Rhinolophus ferrumequinum: one gene and its partner. The protein of the gene in region 1 purifies or fractionates together with the protein of each later gene. This does not show direct contact. Links are inferred from orthologs where the notes say so. Each region holds a gene or a part of one and is shown in the gene's direction. Other genes may lie near its edges.

Region 1 (7,278 bases):
AGGACCACAGAATACAATGCAGTGAAGGGGGCACCTACCATGGATCAGAATTGGAGCCTAATCAGGGAATATTTCTACTCTAGGGTAGAGACCCTTGCAATGTGTGCCTGGCAGGATTCCAGAATTGCCACAGACTATTGATTGCTATCTGTATCCCAGTCTTTTCCATTTTGAGAAGTGTTTGTGGTGATTATCCTGTTCCTACTCTATCATTGTATATTAGGTATGGAGGGGGGAGGGGCACAGATATTTTGTTTGTTTAGTTCCTGTGTCTCCATATCAAGGGAAGATATATCCCGGCCCAACTATTGTGAGATTATAGACTTTGAACTTGAACTATGATAGAATAGAACTTTTGGGGTTATTTCCCTGGAAGAGGGTATGTGTATATTTTGTGGGAAGAAAGGTAAACCTAGTATCTAACGATCAGAAGGACTGATGGGGGTTGTCACTAGTCTCGCCAGCTCAAGCTTCACCCTTTGGAGCTCTCTCGCCCCCTAGTGGTTGGGTGGGGCCACGTGACTAGTTTTAGCAACTGGGTTGTGAACATAGTGATTATAAATTACTTCTAGGCGAGAACATTTACTTTTAATTGCCATTGTGAGTTCCTCCAATGTACGTTTCTCCAATAGGGTGGCAAATCTCAGCCTGGGTTTCTGAGTAACTATGAGAAGCAAATTCCCCTGCCATCCATGTTAGACAGAAAGCATCAATAAGAAATAAACCTTTTGTCTTCAGCCACTGTGGTTTGCGGGGTTATATGTTATTGCAGACTAATCTAACCTATTCTGAATAAAACACCTATTTATTGTCTGCCTCTTGCATTAGAAATTAGGCTTAATGAGGATCAGCATCTTGTATATCTTGCTTTACATTATATGCCAGATATTTATCACTATACTGGCTCATAGTAGGTGCTCAATAAATAGTTCTTGAATTAATGAAGGAGAGAATTCTCTTAGCACAATTAAGGTTTTTGTTCTAACAAATGCTCCCTTCTGACAAAAATTTCTGTATTAGTCAAGATTCACTCAATGTTGCTACAGTAATAAACACCAACATCTCAGTGTCTTGAACCAAGTTTAATTATTATTTTACTACATATCCATTATGGGATAATAAGGGAGCTCTACTCATTCTAGTCCCTCAGGAACCCAGATTGACTGTAGCCACTGCTGCTGTCTTGAAAGTTGCTGGTTGCTATAGCAGAGGGATTAAAGAGCTCTGAAGCGTCTTGCATTGGCAAGCGTGGAAGTGATTCATATTACTTCTTCTCATAACTAATAGGTCAAAATTAGTTACATGATATTACTCAACCATAGGAAGCCAAGAAGAGCAGTTCTGTCTTGTGCCCAAAATGGCAGACAAAAGGAAATATTTGTTGAACACCATAAAAAAAAAGGTTTCAAAAAAAAAGTAATGAAAATATTTGTGATTATCGAAGTGAAGGGGGAAATAAAACTGGGCTATATGACAGAACTAATTGAGTGGGTGATCTGGGCGGCCTCTGTGAGGAGGTGACATTTGCATTGAGACCTCAAAGATCAGAAGGAGTGAGCAAGAATTAAAAGAACATTCCAGACATGAAACAGCAAGCATAATGGCCCTAGGGTGGAATGAGCTTGGTTTTTCCTGAAACTGGCAGAAGATGAGATCTATGGGAACCAAAAAGCCATGGAAGTGGGAGGGGCATGTCCCGAGATAGGAGAGACGGTCAGGGTCAGATCATGGAGTATCCCAAAGTCCATAACAAATAATCAGGATTTTATCCTAAATGCAATAGGAAGCCACCGAAAGGTCTTAGGACAAGAAGTGCATGCTTGATTTATGTTTTAAAAAGATAACTCTGGCTATGTGGGGAATCACTTGGAAAAGAGGAAGAGTGAAAATGGGGAGACCATCTAGGAGGCTCTGTAGCAGTGCAGAGATGATAGGGCTGGAAACGGGTGTGGCAGGGAGGGGTAAATCAGTAGTGAAGATGGCAAGAAGTGAACGATGTAAGATATGTTTTGAAGTACTTACTGATGGACAGAATATGAGGGAAAGACAGGAGTTATTTATGATTTCCTTTGTCAAAGACAAAGCAAGACACTAGTTGAAGCAGCAAGGACAGATTTTTACCAGCAACAACTACGGCAATAGGGAAAAGAGTCTACTGTGAACTGAACTCAGCTTTACTTGGACAGGGATGAGTAGGTGTTTTAAAGAGAGAATGAGAAAATAGCATGAGTAGGGTATCAGTAGAGTCATGGAAGTGAAAAATTAAAAAAGATTAGTCAGTATAAATGTGATTAGGCCAGCTATGTCTGCTAGCTGGCAATTATCGAAGTTAGGATTCTACCCTCCTACAGAGACTGGGAGGTAGACACCCTATCCTCAAGGGTTGGCTGGGACAAATGGGAAAAATATATATATGTATACATATATATATTTTTTGGTAGCTTTGAATTTTATCAAGCAGGAAATTTAAGGAGGACCAGGGCAATCTTAGGGATGTGGTCTTGAGCTGTTAGAAACTATGTTAGTTTTTATAGATCAAGGTTGAGGCCTAGTCAAGCGAGGACTCAAAGGAACCTGGCTAGAGTTTGGCCAAGGAGAGAATCTTTGCCGCAATGTGTTTGGTTTTAGTGACAGGGTGATTGGTGGTGTCATTCACACAGATGGGGAATTCTAAGGGACAATTAGGTTTAAAAATCTAGAGGAGATTAAATCCTATTTTGGTCATGTTAACTTTGAGACATTCAAATGAGTAAGAAGTTAAATATAAGAATGAGTCACACAGAAGTCTGGACTAAAGCTATAAATCAAGAGCTGCCAGAGTGATCTACATCAAAGATCACACAGGTAAGAATTAAAGAGATGGGGACTCCAGGATTTGCCTAACAAATTCCTCCTTGAAATTTGTTTCCAGAAGGGTAGCATCACTAGGTATATAATTAATTGTATTTCTAATGGTCACAAAGTACAATGAACAGAATTACAATCAATGCTGCTGTTAAATATTTGGAGATTTTTTTTTTTGTCTTTTGGTTTGAAACCTCTCTCTATTTGCTGTCTCTAAATGATAGCCTCCCACCCCTCGCCCCCAATTACATTTATTGAACACTATTGTCTGCCATTTTACACATGTGGAAAACTGAAGAGAGAAGTTAGGTAACTTGCCTAAGGTGACACAAAATTAGTTAAGGGTTGGGTCCTGTATTGAAAACTCAGCAATCTGGTTCCGGAGTCTGTGTTCTGAACCCTTATGTTATATGGCAACAAGCATAGTTAAGTAGTTTGGTTTTATTTGTTTAATGGAACATAGTGACTTTAAATACATAATAGTTCAGTAAGTGTTTTTGTTGGATCTCTCCATGCTCATGTGTGCACGTCCGTATCATTAGGGTTGAGGCACAATTCTTCTGGTGACTGTGCCTCGAGGTATTACAGCCAAATCCTAGGAAGCGTAGACTGGCTTCACTAGAAAGGTCCTGAAGCTTCAAACCCTTAAAAACACATGACCACAGAATTTTTAAAATGCAGTTGTAGGGGACAGTGAGGTTTGTCTGCACCATAGCATCACAGTGATGTCTTGGTCCTGGACATCATTTGCTGTCAAGGAAATGAGTAAAAAATTTTCCCCACCTCGGTGAAGTTTTCCTTCCGCAGAACATAGTATTGGCACAGAAAATTCACATTGCTGTCATAAGTATTATAGAGTTTCTTGAGCACAAGTATCCTTTTTTTATTTTTTTGCTATACCATTGATGATTTGTAAGAGCCCAAGTGATGCTTGATAGAAGAGGAAGTGAGGAAAAGAGACAGGGAGATAGGGAAGGAAAAAAGACAGGAGGGAAGGAATTCAAATCAAAGAGTCCTACTGGCCAATTTTAGGCGAGCAAGATGCCCTCCGAGGTTTTTTTCTTTTTGTTGTTAAGTTTTTGCCCCGTCCTGTGTGCAGCAACATCCTGACACCGTCTGAAATACTAACTGTCCAGCGTCGCTCGCTTTCTGCCCTTCCAGTCCTCTGATCCCCTCCACGGCCCCCCAGCCCCGCCCCATTCCTCCGCCTCCACCCAGTGGCCGCGGGCCTTGCCACTGCGCCTGCGCACACGGGTTGCTTCCCCCCGGGCCCTCGGGGCGGGTTCCTGAGAACAGGGAGGGGAAGAGGAAGAGGAAGTTGGGGGCGGGTCCTAGCTGGGAGTGAACCGGAAGTGTAAACGCTCCTACTGCTTCTCGGCCAGGCGGAACCTGTTCGGCTGGGCCCGGTGGCCGCAAAGAACTTTCTCCCGCCCTAACGGTTGCTGCGGCCAACTGCCTCACCCGCCTGGCAGCCTCACCCGCCTTCTCTTCTTCTCCCCTCAGGCTCGGCGCGGTCCTGTCTCCCTCTCGCCCGGCGGTATCCGCTTGCTGCCGCCACCGCCTCCTCGTCTTCTGCCCCGCCAACTGGCCCGCCCCGCTGCAGTAATGTGCGACAAGGAGTTCATGTGGGCCCTGAAAAACGGGGACTTGGATGAGGTGAAAGACTACGTGGCTAAGGTAAGCGGCGACGAGTGGGCGACAGTACGGAGGCGGGATGGAGATGAGGCTGAGGAAGCTGAAGGCAGCGGGGCTGAACGGGGGTGGGGGTGGGGAGGGGAGAGACATCCTGGATGGAGGTGGCCCCGAGGCGAGAGGGGAGTCGGGGAGCCTCTGCACTGAAGGGGGGTCCCGATCACGCGGGCGCGTTCTGGGTCAGGTAACTGCTGTGTTGACACAGCCGGGCTCTTCTTGCTTTCCTGACCACTTGGGGGAGGGGAGGAGAGGGAACCGGCTCCTTTGGAGTCACTTCTGAACACTGATCATGTGAGTTTGGCCCTCGTCTACGCCAGTTAGTTAGATCTTTCTTTGAATGAGGTAATTCTCCATCTTGAACCTGCCCGTTACTAAGTGAAGTGGCCTAAGCGATTAGAATCGGAGGAACTTTTTTATTAACGGTGGGCCGGTTAATGAATGTAACGTATTCAGTCACCGTGAAAAAGTACCCCAAATAGCAACAGTTAAAACGATGACACTTGGTATCACTTCACTGCGGGAGCCTTAACTTTGGGTGTGGCCTTTTTCCTCTCCTCCACTGCAACAAATACAGATTTGCTTCAAGTGTCAGTTGGCATCTGGGAGTGTTTAAGATATCTGAGTAGTTTTCAAACAAGCATGTTAACTTGAGGTACTCCATCTTTCTCCTTGATTCCATCTGAAATGCTTACACGAGTAGTGAACAGTAATGCAGTTTAGTTACAGTATATTTGAGGGTAAAATCATGATGAGGACAGCTAATCACAAAACTGAACTCAAAGTGTAAAACTGAATCCACATTATAGTGGATTGGTAAAATTCCGAGCTGGCCTGCCTTTGGACCCTGAAACTGTGCTTTTTGTAATGATGAGAGAACTGCATGTGATTCTGATACGATAATCGAAAGAGAACTCTTCCAAGACAAACGTATAACTTTATGACATAACCCTGGAGAGCATCTTGCTCACCTAAAAAGTGCGAAAACCCTGTCTAGATTTCAGGTCTTCAGAGGCTGTGAACACTAGTATGGTGCTGTGTTTTTGCTTCACAGATCTATGTTAGGAAACAAGCAGAAGCAGAGTTTCTTAAAACTTGTAGGATTGTGCAAGGCAAACTATTGATAGTTTTTACTCTGTTTAATACCGTTACAATTAGACTTATTGCGTGCAAATTACCTGCTTAGGGGTTACTTGCAGTGGATTTTTAGGACACTGTTCACTGCTTTGTCAGCTAGTGGCGGTCTGAAACCTGACTTACTGGATGTTTCAGTGTAAGATTAAAGGAAAGAAATTACTTGGATCACTTCAGTCCATGGTACACTTTCTAGTGGTGGACATTGTAGTACTCTGGAAATGAGTGGGCTTTTGTTTTTCTGTTACTGTGGAACCTTGGAATACGAAAAGTTGATCAGTACTGACTGAGCTTACAGTTACAAAAATAACACAATTTATGTAGTGTCTTCCTGATGGCATTATTTTATATCATCCTTGTGAGGCTTGTGAAGTAAGTCCTTTTATGAGTCCCATTTTACGGGTAAGATTACTGAGATGAGGGTACTTAAGAAAAAAAATCCAAAGTTACAGAGATAACAAGTGGTGAAGCTAGAACTGAACTGCTGACTCCAAAACTTAGACTCTGTCTGCTCCATGCTGTCTCTCACGATCTAAAATGTAATCGCAAAAGCATGATACCAAGATTTCTAGTAGGACATTCCCGTGGTCAACATCCAGGTAGATAAATTATATATGAAGAGTTCTCAGTCACAAAAAAATGTATGTAAAAATATGTACCCATAATGACGGATTAATTTGTTTTCAGGTGGTTTGTAAATTAGGTCATTATGTTCAGTTTGATTTCGTGTTTTTCCTGCAACTACCAACTCTCATTAATAAAAAAAGATATATATGAAAGGGAGGATAGACATTCAAAGAAAAGTAAAAGGGAAGTATTAACTGGTTTATCCAAAAAGGTTTGACTATAAACTAATCCTACGAACAGATCATTGAGCTTTTCCCTTTCTTAGTTTTTATGAGTAATTCGAGTCTCTTAAAATATCTTTTGCTTTGTTAATGAAAAATTACAAAAAGTAACCCAAAACTAGCACTCCAGCTTTTGCTTACTGAGCTCCCTTATTGACACTCTCGAGTCCTTAGGACAGTGTCTTCTGCTTAGCAGCCCCTGCTTATTCATTGACTCATCTTTTTCGTCCACCGATTTATGAACACTCATTCCTGTTTTCCGAGTTTGTGTAATGTGCATTTATCTAAGTGTGTACGAAGAAAGTCCATGAAGAAACACGTGGACTTGTCTAGTGTTCCTTCTAAGACGTGAGAGTCTTTAAAATGTTCTCATCTGTACTCCTGCGAAGATCTCTCCCGTTCTTCACATATAAGAGTGGACCTGTAGGTGAAGCACTGTAGTATTCTCCCTTTCTAAATTCGTATTTTAAAAAAATCAATGATTGTGTTTTTCTACCTGCTTCTGACTTCTATACGGAAATCTGAAGTATGGCTAGGCAGAAACTGTCAGTTTTGGGTAAGTTCTTGAACTCCAAAAAATCAGTTCGGAGTTCCCAAATCGTTGAAAATTGTGTGGTTCTCAATGGGAAAAGCAGCGTATAAAGAAATTTTAAATTAGTAATAAATGTTTATCTTTAACATTAAAACAATATTGGAAACGGTTTGGCTTCTTGACCACCCTACAGACCATACTTAGTTAATTCATCCATTGTTAATTGGGCAC
Region 2 (8,264 bases), on another chromosome or scaffold:
ACTAAAGTGAGGATGGAGTCATTATGGGGACAGAGCCAGGAGTGCAATTTCCAGGCTCTTGGCCTCACGTGGAAAGGTGCTCACTCGGGTAGTAAATGGCCATCAACTGTGATTGGATGGCCATCAGCTGTGGCTAGTTGGCCGTCAGCTGTAACCAGTGAGCCTTTGGCCATTAATATAACTGCTGTGGCTACGCTAGCACAAAAATGGGGGCTAGCAAGAAGATGGTGGCTGAGCTAGCAAGAGCGGATTGCAGCTAGCAAGTGAGGTTGGTTGGCAGAGAGAAGTGGACGGCAGGTTGCGGATAGTGTGGCTCCTGCTTCCTGTGTCTCCAACCCAGCTGCCAGCAAGAATATAGTGGTATGACTCCCCTATCTATGGCTCCGTGGGTGTTCCTTTTTGGCCTCACCATATCCTGCATTCTTATGTGGGGAGCGGGACCAGAGATCCCGCATGACACCCTGCATGACAGTCATCCACTTATCTGTGTGACCTTAGGCAAGTCATTTCATCTAAGCCTCAACTTCTTCTATAAAATGGTAACAATAGAAGCTACTAGCTCAAAGGATTGTTTGGAGGAATCAATGAGATGATACAACAACTTAGCACATAGTAACCACTCAATTAAAAGTAGCCATCACTTTATTATTCATTTTTGGTCCACTTATTCACACAATAATCCTATTATGTTGTTACTATTATCTTATTTCACAGACCTTCATTGAGCACCTATTATGTTCCAGGTGAAGATCCCTAGTGACCAAAACAGCAGTTAGATAACAGAAAAGAAGGGGTTCCAGAACTGAGCACTCAGAAAAGGAAGAGGCGCTATGAAAGGGAACTCAGAGGAAAGCTGAGCAGTGAGAGAGGAGCCTCAAGGGCGAGAGAAGCCAACTGCAGCAAACCCTGCGAAGTCAGCAAGATGAGGCCCCGAAGTGACCCACTGGCTTCTGCAAGATGGGAGTTTCCAGGCCAACAGGCAGAGGCAGAAGTTCACCCCAGACTGATCTGAAGAGAAATTGGAGTTGGTGTGGAAATAGCAACTGCAGAGAACTCACAAAGTTTGGATGTGAAGAGGAGCAAAAACATGGGGGAAGTGGCTGGAGGGAGAGTTTTGTTGTTAAAACTTAAAAAAAACCCTGAAATATTAGGACATGTCATTTCAAGCAGGTGGGAATGGTCCAGTACAGAGGGAGAAATTGGTGACTCAGGAGGGAGGGATGCAGAGTGCCAGTGAAGGGGTGGCTCTGATGGTGAACAAATGCTTCTTCAGTCACTGTGAGTGGGGAAGGCAGAGGACGTGGGCAAGGTGCAGGGTTGTCAGGGGATGAGGGGTCTCGTGTCCGATTGATTCTATTTCCTGTGTGAAGTATGAGGCAAGTTCATCTGCTCAGAGTGAAAGATGAGAAGGGGATAGAGAGGAGGAAGAGTGGAAAATCACCTCTGTACAGGGTGGGGGATTGAATATAGCAGGGAAATATAGGAGGATTGCTAGGCAGGATCGAGGGCTCCTTTGAACTTTGTGGACATCAATTTCAAGTGACACGCGTCACTTTTAATTTCCCAGCAATGTTCAGATATTCTGATGTAAGCAGAGAGTAGGGGAATAGCTGGGCTTATCTAAGGTTGGGCAAGTTAGAAGAAGAGAAGGGGGGCAAAGGGGCTATGGGGTTTTTCGAGGAAGCGAATGATCATTACTAAGTTGGTGAGGAGGGAAGTGAGCACAAGAGAGAAGATAAATATGCAAATCTGACAGGGTCACAGGTTTGTAGGTCGTGGTGACTTTGAAGAAATGCTGGGTGTGATATTGTCAGAAGGAGGCTCAAGTCAGATTTGGTATCTTTGCAATTGTGTTTTCTGAGATAGTACAATTACTGGTGAGAACAAGTCCAGAGTAAGACCATGGGAGTGGGTACTTACAGACGGGGGAAGGGATAACTCATTGGTAGAGAAGAAATGAGTAAAGGAGAAGTTAGTAAGATTTCGGATGGATTATGCTTATGGATGCTGAAGTCATAAAGTGCAGGCGGCACGTTGGAGGTCATGATAGCATGAACTTCAAGGGGTTGGGTTTTTGAAAGAGGAAGGGAGGAGAAACAGTACTAAAAATATTTATGGTGTTTGCCTGCCTACCCGCAGCCCCTTGTAGGGAGTCATGTTTAATGCCACATGCCCCCATGTGCATAGCAATACCTGACTGGTCAAGGGGTAGTGTCTGGCCTACAGGCTGCCAATGTGGTGCACTGGCCAGTGACCTGTCACCATTAAAAGGAGAGATGAGTTCATTGGATTCTGTCTTGGGATCTGGACTATGAAACACAAAAAGAATTTGCTGCTTAATAGCACAAGCTGATGCAGAGAATAAACGGACAAAGGTCATCAGGATGGACCTCACACAGGCTGAAATGTTAAGGGAATAGGGGTATAAACAAGCTGAGGATGCCAAAAAGTAAAGGAAGAATGTAGAAGATGCATCAAAAGCAGCAGAAATGGGGCCTCATGAGAGAGCTGGAGTAGCCTGTCCCTAGTTCTGGGTTGGTTCCCAAGTCCTCTTATTATGAGGTAACTTCCAAAGGTTTTTGAGCAGAGAAGCAATATAATCACACCTGGGGTTACGTGTTTGGGCTCTGGTCCCAGATTGCCTGGCTTTGAAATCATTAGCTATGTGATCTTGGGCAAATTACTTAACCTCTCTGTGCCTCAGTTCCCTCATCTGTATCATGAGAATAATAGCACTGCCCTTGTAGTGTTTTATTGAGAATTAGAGAAAATACAGGTGATGCATTTTGAACAAGCTTCTTTTCAGTATTATTTTCTTCAAATAAAATTGTCCCTTCTTTCACAAAACTTTCCCTTGTGATCTTATTTATCCCTTGGCTTCCAGGAGGATCACCACTTTCTCTTGGTCCTCTTCTCGCCTCCCAGACTATTCCTTCTCAATTGTTTTGCTGGTTCCGCTTCATCTTCTTGACCTCTCTACATTCACCTCCTAAGTGAGCTCACTTAGATGTCTTGTGCTTTTAAGTACCTTAAAATATTAGCTGACAGTTCTCAGTTTGTCACCAACTCCAGTTTCTTCCTCCAACTCCAGGCTTCCATACTTGACTACTTGACATCTCCATTTAAATCTCCAATAGGTAATCACAAACTTAACTTGCCCCAAACTGACTCCTATGCCCCCGCCCCTGAAAAAAACCCTGCTCCTCCTACAATCTTCCGCAGATCAATAAATAGAAAATCATTCCGGTGTTGATCAAGCTAAAAATCTTAGCATCTTCCTTTCTTCTTCTCATGCCTACCACCAATCCATCACCCAAAACCCAGCATACGATCTCTTCTTGCCACCTCAATGCTACTGCCCTGGCGGAAACACCTTCTTCATCTGTCTGCTGTGTGACCTTAGGTTACCTTTTCTGGTCTCTGTTAAGAAGATTAAATGAGTTATTGTTTGTGAAGTGGTCAACAGTGTGCAGCACATAGGAAGTCCCATGTAAGTGCTTTTTGAATAAATAAAAAATGCCTTCAATGCAGAAATAGCTTTCTAACGGCCCTGGTCCCCCTACAGTCCACTCAGAACACAGCAGCCTCCTGATCCTTTTAAAGCCCAGGCCAGATCCTGTCACACTGCTCTGCACCTCTCTGACCTCAGCTTCCACTGCTCTCCCCTCGCTCAATCTGCGCCAGCCACCTCGGTGTCCTTGTTCCATGAATACAGCAAGGGCTGTCCCCACTGGGTGTTTACCCTGGCTGTGCCTCCCTCTAATCTAATATTACTAAGTTAGGCCTCTTCTGGCCCCATTTTGGTTAACCTGCCTGCCTATGCCCTCACTCCCGATTTCCTCCACATCTCTAACCATCTGACACTGTTTACGTAGTAGCTAATTGTCTCCCCTTCAACATTCAAGATCTGCAACAAGGTGGACTATCTTGTTCATTGCTCTATCCCTAGAGCTTAGAACAGTCGTTGGTACATAGTAGGTGCTCGCTCAATAAATGCTTACCAAGTGAAAACAATTCCTAAGAGACACTCCCTTCTCTGAATTCCCACAATACAGGTATGAATCATTCTTGGGGAACCTACCTATATCACTTCTTATGCCGGTGGCAAGTTTTACTTGACTGTGAGCTCCCTAAGGACAGGGCTTGGCTCCTGGTAATAATGCCTGTCATTTATGCAACACTTTACAGGTTACAATCCCTGTATTGAATTAAATCCCTGTGCCTGAGTTAAATCAGGCACAGGTGGCCTGATTTAATTCTCACAAACGACAGTGAGCAAGTTAGGGAGGGCTAGCATCCCAGGTCTCCTGCCTTCTGGATGAACCTCAAATATTTGTTGAATGAAGAGGAATAAAAATATTTCCTGAGTCACTCTGGTGTGAAGCAGCCCCACTGGACAAATGGGCTGGTTCTCTGTAGCACATCTGAAAATACTCAGAACACCTACCATGCATTGAGCCCAGTTTTCTAATCCCTACCTGTGTCGTCCTCACAGCGATCCTCTAGCTATGAGGACATCTTTATGTCTTGTTCACCCCTGCTCTCTATTGGTGTCTCAAACAAGGCCTGGTATCTAGTAGGTGCTCAATGAGTGTGTGGCTCGAGGCTTTTTTTTTTTTTTTTAGAGATCGGTCTCAGGTGCAGCGACTTGCTCCAGGTCCCGCACGTAGCTAGCGGCAGCGCAGAGATTCCATTTCAGGTTCGCTCACTAAGCTCTCCCCGGGCTGCGCTGGGCCCGTGGGCCGCACTAGTTCCGGGTCCGCCGCGGGAGTGAGCGCGTGCACCGGGTGGGGCGGGGAGGGACTGACCCCTCCCAGCCCCAGTGCCTTCCGCATCCCCGCCCGGGAGGCCCGCGGGCACGGTTCCTCTGCCGCCACCCGCTTCTGCAGCCCCAAAGCAGGTGGCAGGGTCTGGGTGCGGGCAGAAGCCCACTCCCGGGATCAGCCCCGACACCGACGGGCACGCCACGCCGGGCTCAGAGCACCGGCCCGGCCCGCCCACTCTGCCGGCCGCCCGGCCGGGTCCCGCCCGCAAGCCCCGCCCCTCACTTCCCCGATCGGCGCTCCTCCCCCCAGCGCCGCGCTCCATACTTGGCGATCGCCGCGGCCCTGCGCGCTCATTGGCGGAGAGCCGGCTGCGTGGGGGGCGGGCCCGGGCCTGGCCGGGGCGGGGAAGGAAGGTGGCGGCGGCCCGGCGCGGGGGGAGGGGGGCGCTGACCCGGATGTTCACTCCTGGGCACCCGGGGAAGTGGAAGCGCCGGGCCCTGCTGCTGGGGGGAGAGCCACAGACGCCGGGACCGGGACCGCCGCCGACGCCGCCACCATGGTAAAGGCCCGACGTCACCCTCCCCCAGCCCCGGGGGCTCCGCCGGAGCTCACGTCCCCCTGCCCCCGCCGACCCCCGGCTTGTGAAGGGTGGGTTCCCCCGGGTGGGGGAGGGGCGGGGTCCGGGAACCCAGGTAGACACCATCCCTGCGCACTCAGGAGGGAGCTGCCCGCTCGGGCGGCTCGGGTGGGCTGCGTCCCTGCTTCCCCCTCCCAGACCCCGCCCTTGGCTCAAGCTGGTGTCCCACTCTCCACCTCCGGGTCTAGGCTGGTCTCCTCTATAGCCCAGGCTAGTCCCTCCTGGACCCGTGGGCCGGGCCAGGCACCCCCTCCGGTGACCCAGGTTTGGCCCCCATTTCTCCTCCCCCTGGCCTGGGCTAGGTCCCTTTTCCTCGTTCCTACGGCCCAGGCTAGGCTGTCGTTTCTCTCTGCCATGGCCCAGACTAGGCCTCTGTCCCCCTCCTCCATGGCAGCAGTCCGGACCCCCGTCAACTTCTCCAAGTGGCCTCAGCCTAGATGTGTTTCGTCTCTTCCATGGCTTCAGCTTGAACCTTCTTTTCCCTCCCTGGTCATAAGTTTGGGCCTCCCCTCCTCCGCCCATGCCCCCGCCTGGACGTCACCCCGCCCCACCCGCCATGATCCCCTTCCCTAGACTTCTCACCACTCTTAGAGTAGGCTGCGTCAACCTCCTTCTGTCCCGGCCTTTACCTTCCCTCCAGGGCCCTGCTCCCTGCCCTGAGCCACCACCTGGTCCCCTTCCCCGAAGCAGGGCGAACCTTCTTTCCCACCTGTGGGAAGCTTTGCAGCCCAGGGTGGGGTAGTCCCGGGGCTGTGCCTTTTCAAGTTTGAGGGTTACCCCTTCTGGGGAGGCCGTCTGGGAGCGAGCGAGGGAAGGGCGGGCATTTGTGTCCGGAAGGCAGCGCGGCGCTCTCCGGGCCTTTCCGCGGCGGCAGCCTCGGTGCTGCGGTGGGTGCTTGCGGAGCGAGCGGCTAAGTTCTGAGTGGGAGCGGAGTGATGCGGTGGGGGAGCAGACAGGGCAGGGATGAGCGCACAATCGCTCGGGAGAGGCCACAGCCCATGGGGGGGCGGGCAGTAGGCCCCTAGGCCAACATATGGCCTGGACACGATGCACCCCAGCAGGCGCAGCCTCCCTTTCCCCTTGAACTGTCAGCTCGTGAGGGTTGGAACTGCTGATTATGGAGGTGCCTCGGATCAGGTGAGCCAGGCTCCTGGTGTTTGTTTTGGTCATGAAGGCAGGTGCTCTCTGGGCACTCTACCTGGCTTGAGGTTTCACATAGCCCCACACACAGGAGTCTGCCCCTGCCCGAACCTTCTGCAGGGCAGGCCCAGCACCCAGGTTGGAAGGGCCAGGGGACTTCTCTGTCACATGGCCAAGGACCCATTGGAGAATGGACTGACAATTCAGGCTGTTCATCTGCTCCTCCCATCAGCATAAGCAGATGTTTGCATGTGGACTTTGGGCCCGAAAGGGTTTTGAGGATCTTGGTTCCTTGTTTGACGAAGGGATGTTGCTTCTGAACTGGGTGACTAATTCAGACTCCCCACGTTTTTTCTTGATGCCTTCCTGTATGTTAATGAACAAGGTGGCCAATGCCATTTTTCATGCTATTGGAGTTCTCTTCGTTGGCTGAGAACTGGCTGCATGGTGGGGGTGAGGGTGGCGGTGGCGGTGGCGGTGGCCCAGTCCTGGGCCTTGGTGGGGCAAGACTTCTGGACAGGTTTGGGTGAGGACTTTAAAAGTGGAGTGAAGTTTTGTCAGTTTGCTCTGGGGGCAAAAGCAGGGGAGGCTGGATGGAGTGGCCAAGTGGGGTGACTCAAGGCACGTATCTGGCTGGGAGGGGTGTCTTGCCTTGGCCCTGGGTGCCAGATTGTCCAAATGTGATGGGAAAGTGCCTGTAATGACCCAGGAGGAGCACGATGATACACAGCAGGCTTCTCAAGAGTCCTGTGTCAGGTCTTCTTTGGACAATCTGAAAGGACTGGAAGGGGTGGGGGACAAGGGCTACTATTTCTTCACGGGCTGCTCAGTGACTGCGTCGTGAGGTTCGCCTCTGTGAGCTCCTTTCATCCACACGCAGCCTTTTGAGGTATCCCCATTGGACGGGGAAAGAAGCAGAAGCTGGGGCGGACTAACTTACTCTTACTCAGGGCGTCGCTCAGTCAGTGGACGCATACCTGGCAGGCTCACAGCTTCTCCTTCCCATGCCCCAGGCTGCTAAGTGTGGGAAGACGTAAAGGACACTGCTTAGAAAACATAATAACGGGGTACTGTGCAGAGATGGCAAGGGAGGAGCAGCATTTATAGTCCTCCGCTCTACCAGCTGAGCTATCAAAGAAAGCACCAGGAGCAGCATTTACTGACTGGATTGTGTCCTGGGTCCTTTGCATAGGAGACGACGTTAGTGAAATAGTTGCTTGGGAGTGCCTGGGCCAGAACATGCGCTCTTTGACGGCAGGGATTTTCGTCTTGTGTTTTCTTTCCATGGCTTGAAGGAAATGGCTTGGAGGGCTCTCCTTTGGGGTGTGTCTGTATTCATGAACTTAACCACTTGGAGTTCATGTTCATTCTCTCATTAACTTGTTCTTAGTATCCCCTAGGCTGAGAAGTAATTTCTGACAGGCTATTGTCAAATGTATCCCCTACTTGAATACTGTAATAAACTGTGGAGACAGTTGGGGTAGGACAGAAACGGTGGGTCGGGCTGCAGATTAGGTAAATGAATGAAGAGCACTGTGGTTTTTGTTTTCAGTAGGTTTGATGGTAGAGAAAACAGGTGGATCTCAGTGATCCATGGAGGGAAATAGTGGATGGAGAATCTCAAATGCATTGGACTTCGGAGTAAATTCCATGATTTTTGTTGGCATCAGTTAAGAATACACAGACAACTGGAATTTATATGCATTCCCCTTGCAGGTAAT

Evidence for each region.
Region 2: the proteins of MTPN (region 1) and CAPZB purify together in Homo sapiens (co-immunoprecipitation; 3 studies listed by BioGRID and IntAct, with this or other methods). This does not show direct contact. The link is inferred for Rhinolophus ferrumequinum from reciprocal best matches to the Homo sapiens genes MTPN and CAPZB.

The regions. Positions count from the first base shown.
Region 1 is NC_046309.1:12,102,359-12,109,636, forward strand, and holds the start of MTPN (myotrophin), read left to right. Parts: upstream 1-4,173; 5' UTR 4,174-4,449; coding exon 4,450-4,521; intron 4,522-7,278. UniProt on the Homo sapiens protein: Promotes dimerization of NF-kappa-B subunits and regulates NF-kappa-B transcription factor activity. Plays a role in the regulation of the growth of actin filaments.
Region 2 is NC_046292.1:13,114,470-13,122,733, reverse strand, and holds the start of CAPZB (F-actin-capping protein subunit beta), read left to right. Parts: upstream 1-5,227; 5' UTR 5,228-5,322; coding exon 5,323-5,325; intron 5,326-8,264. UniProt on the Homo sapiens protein: F-actin-capping proteins bind in a Ca(2+)-independent manner to the fast growing ends of actin filaments (barbed end) thereby blocking the exchange of subunits at these ends.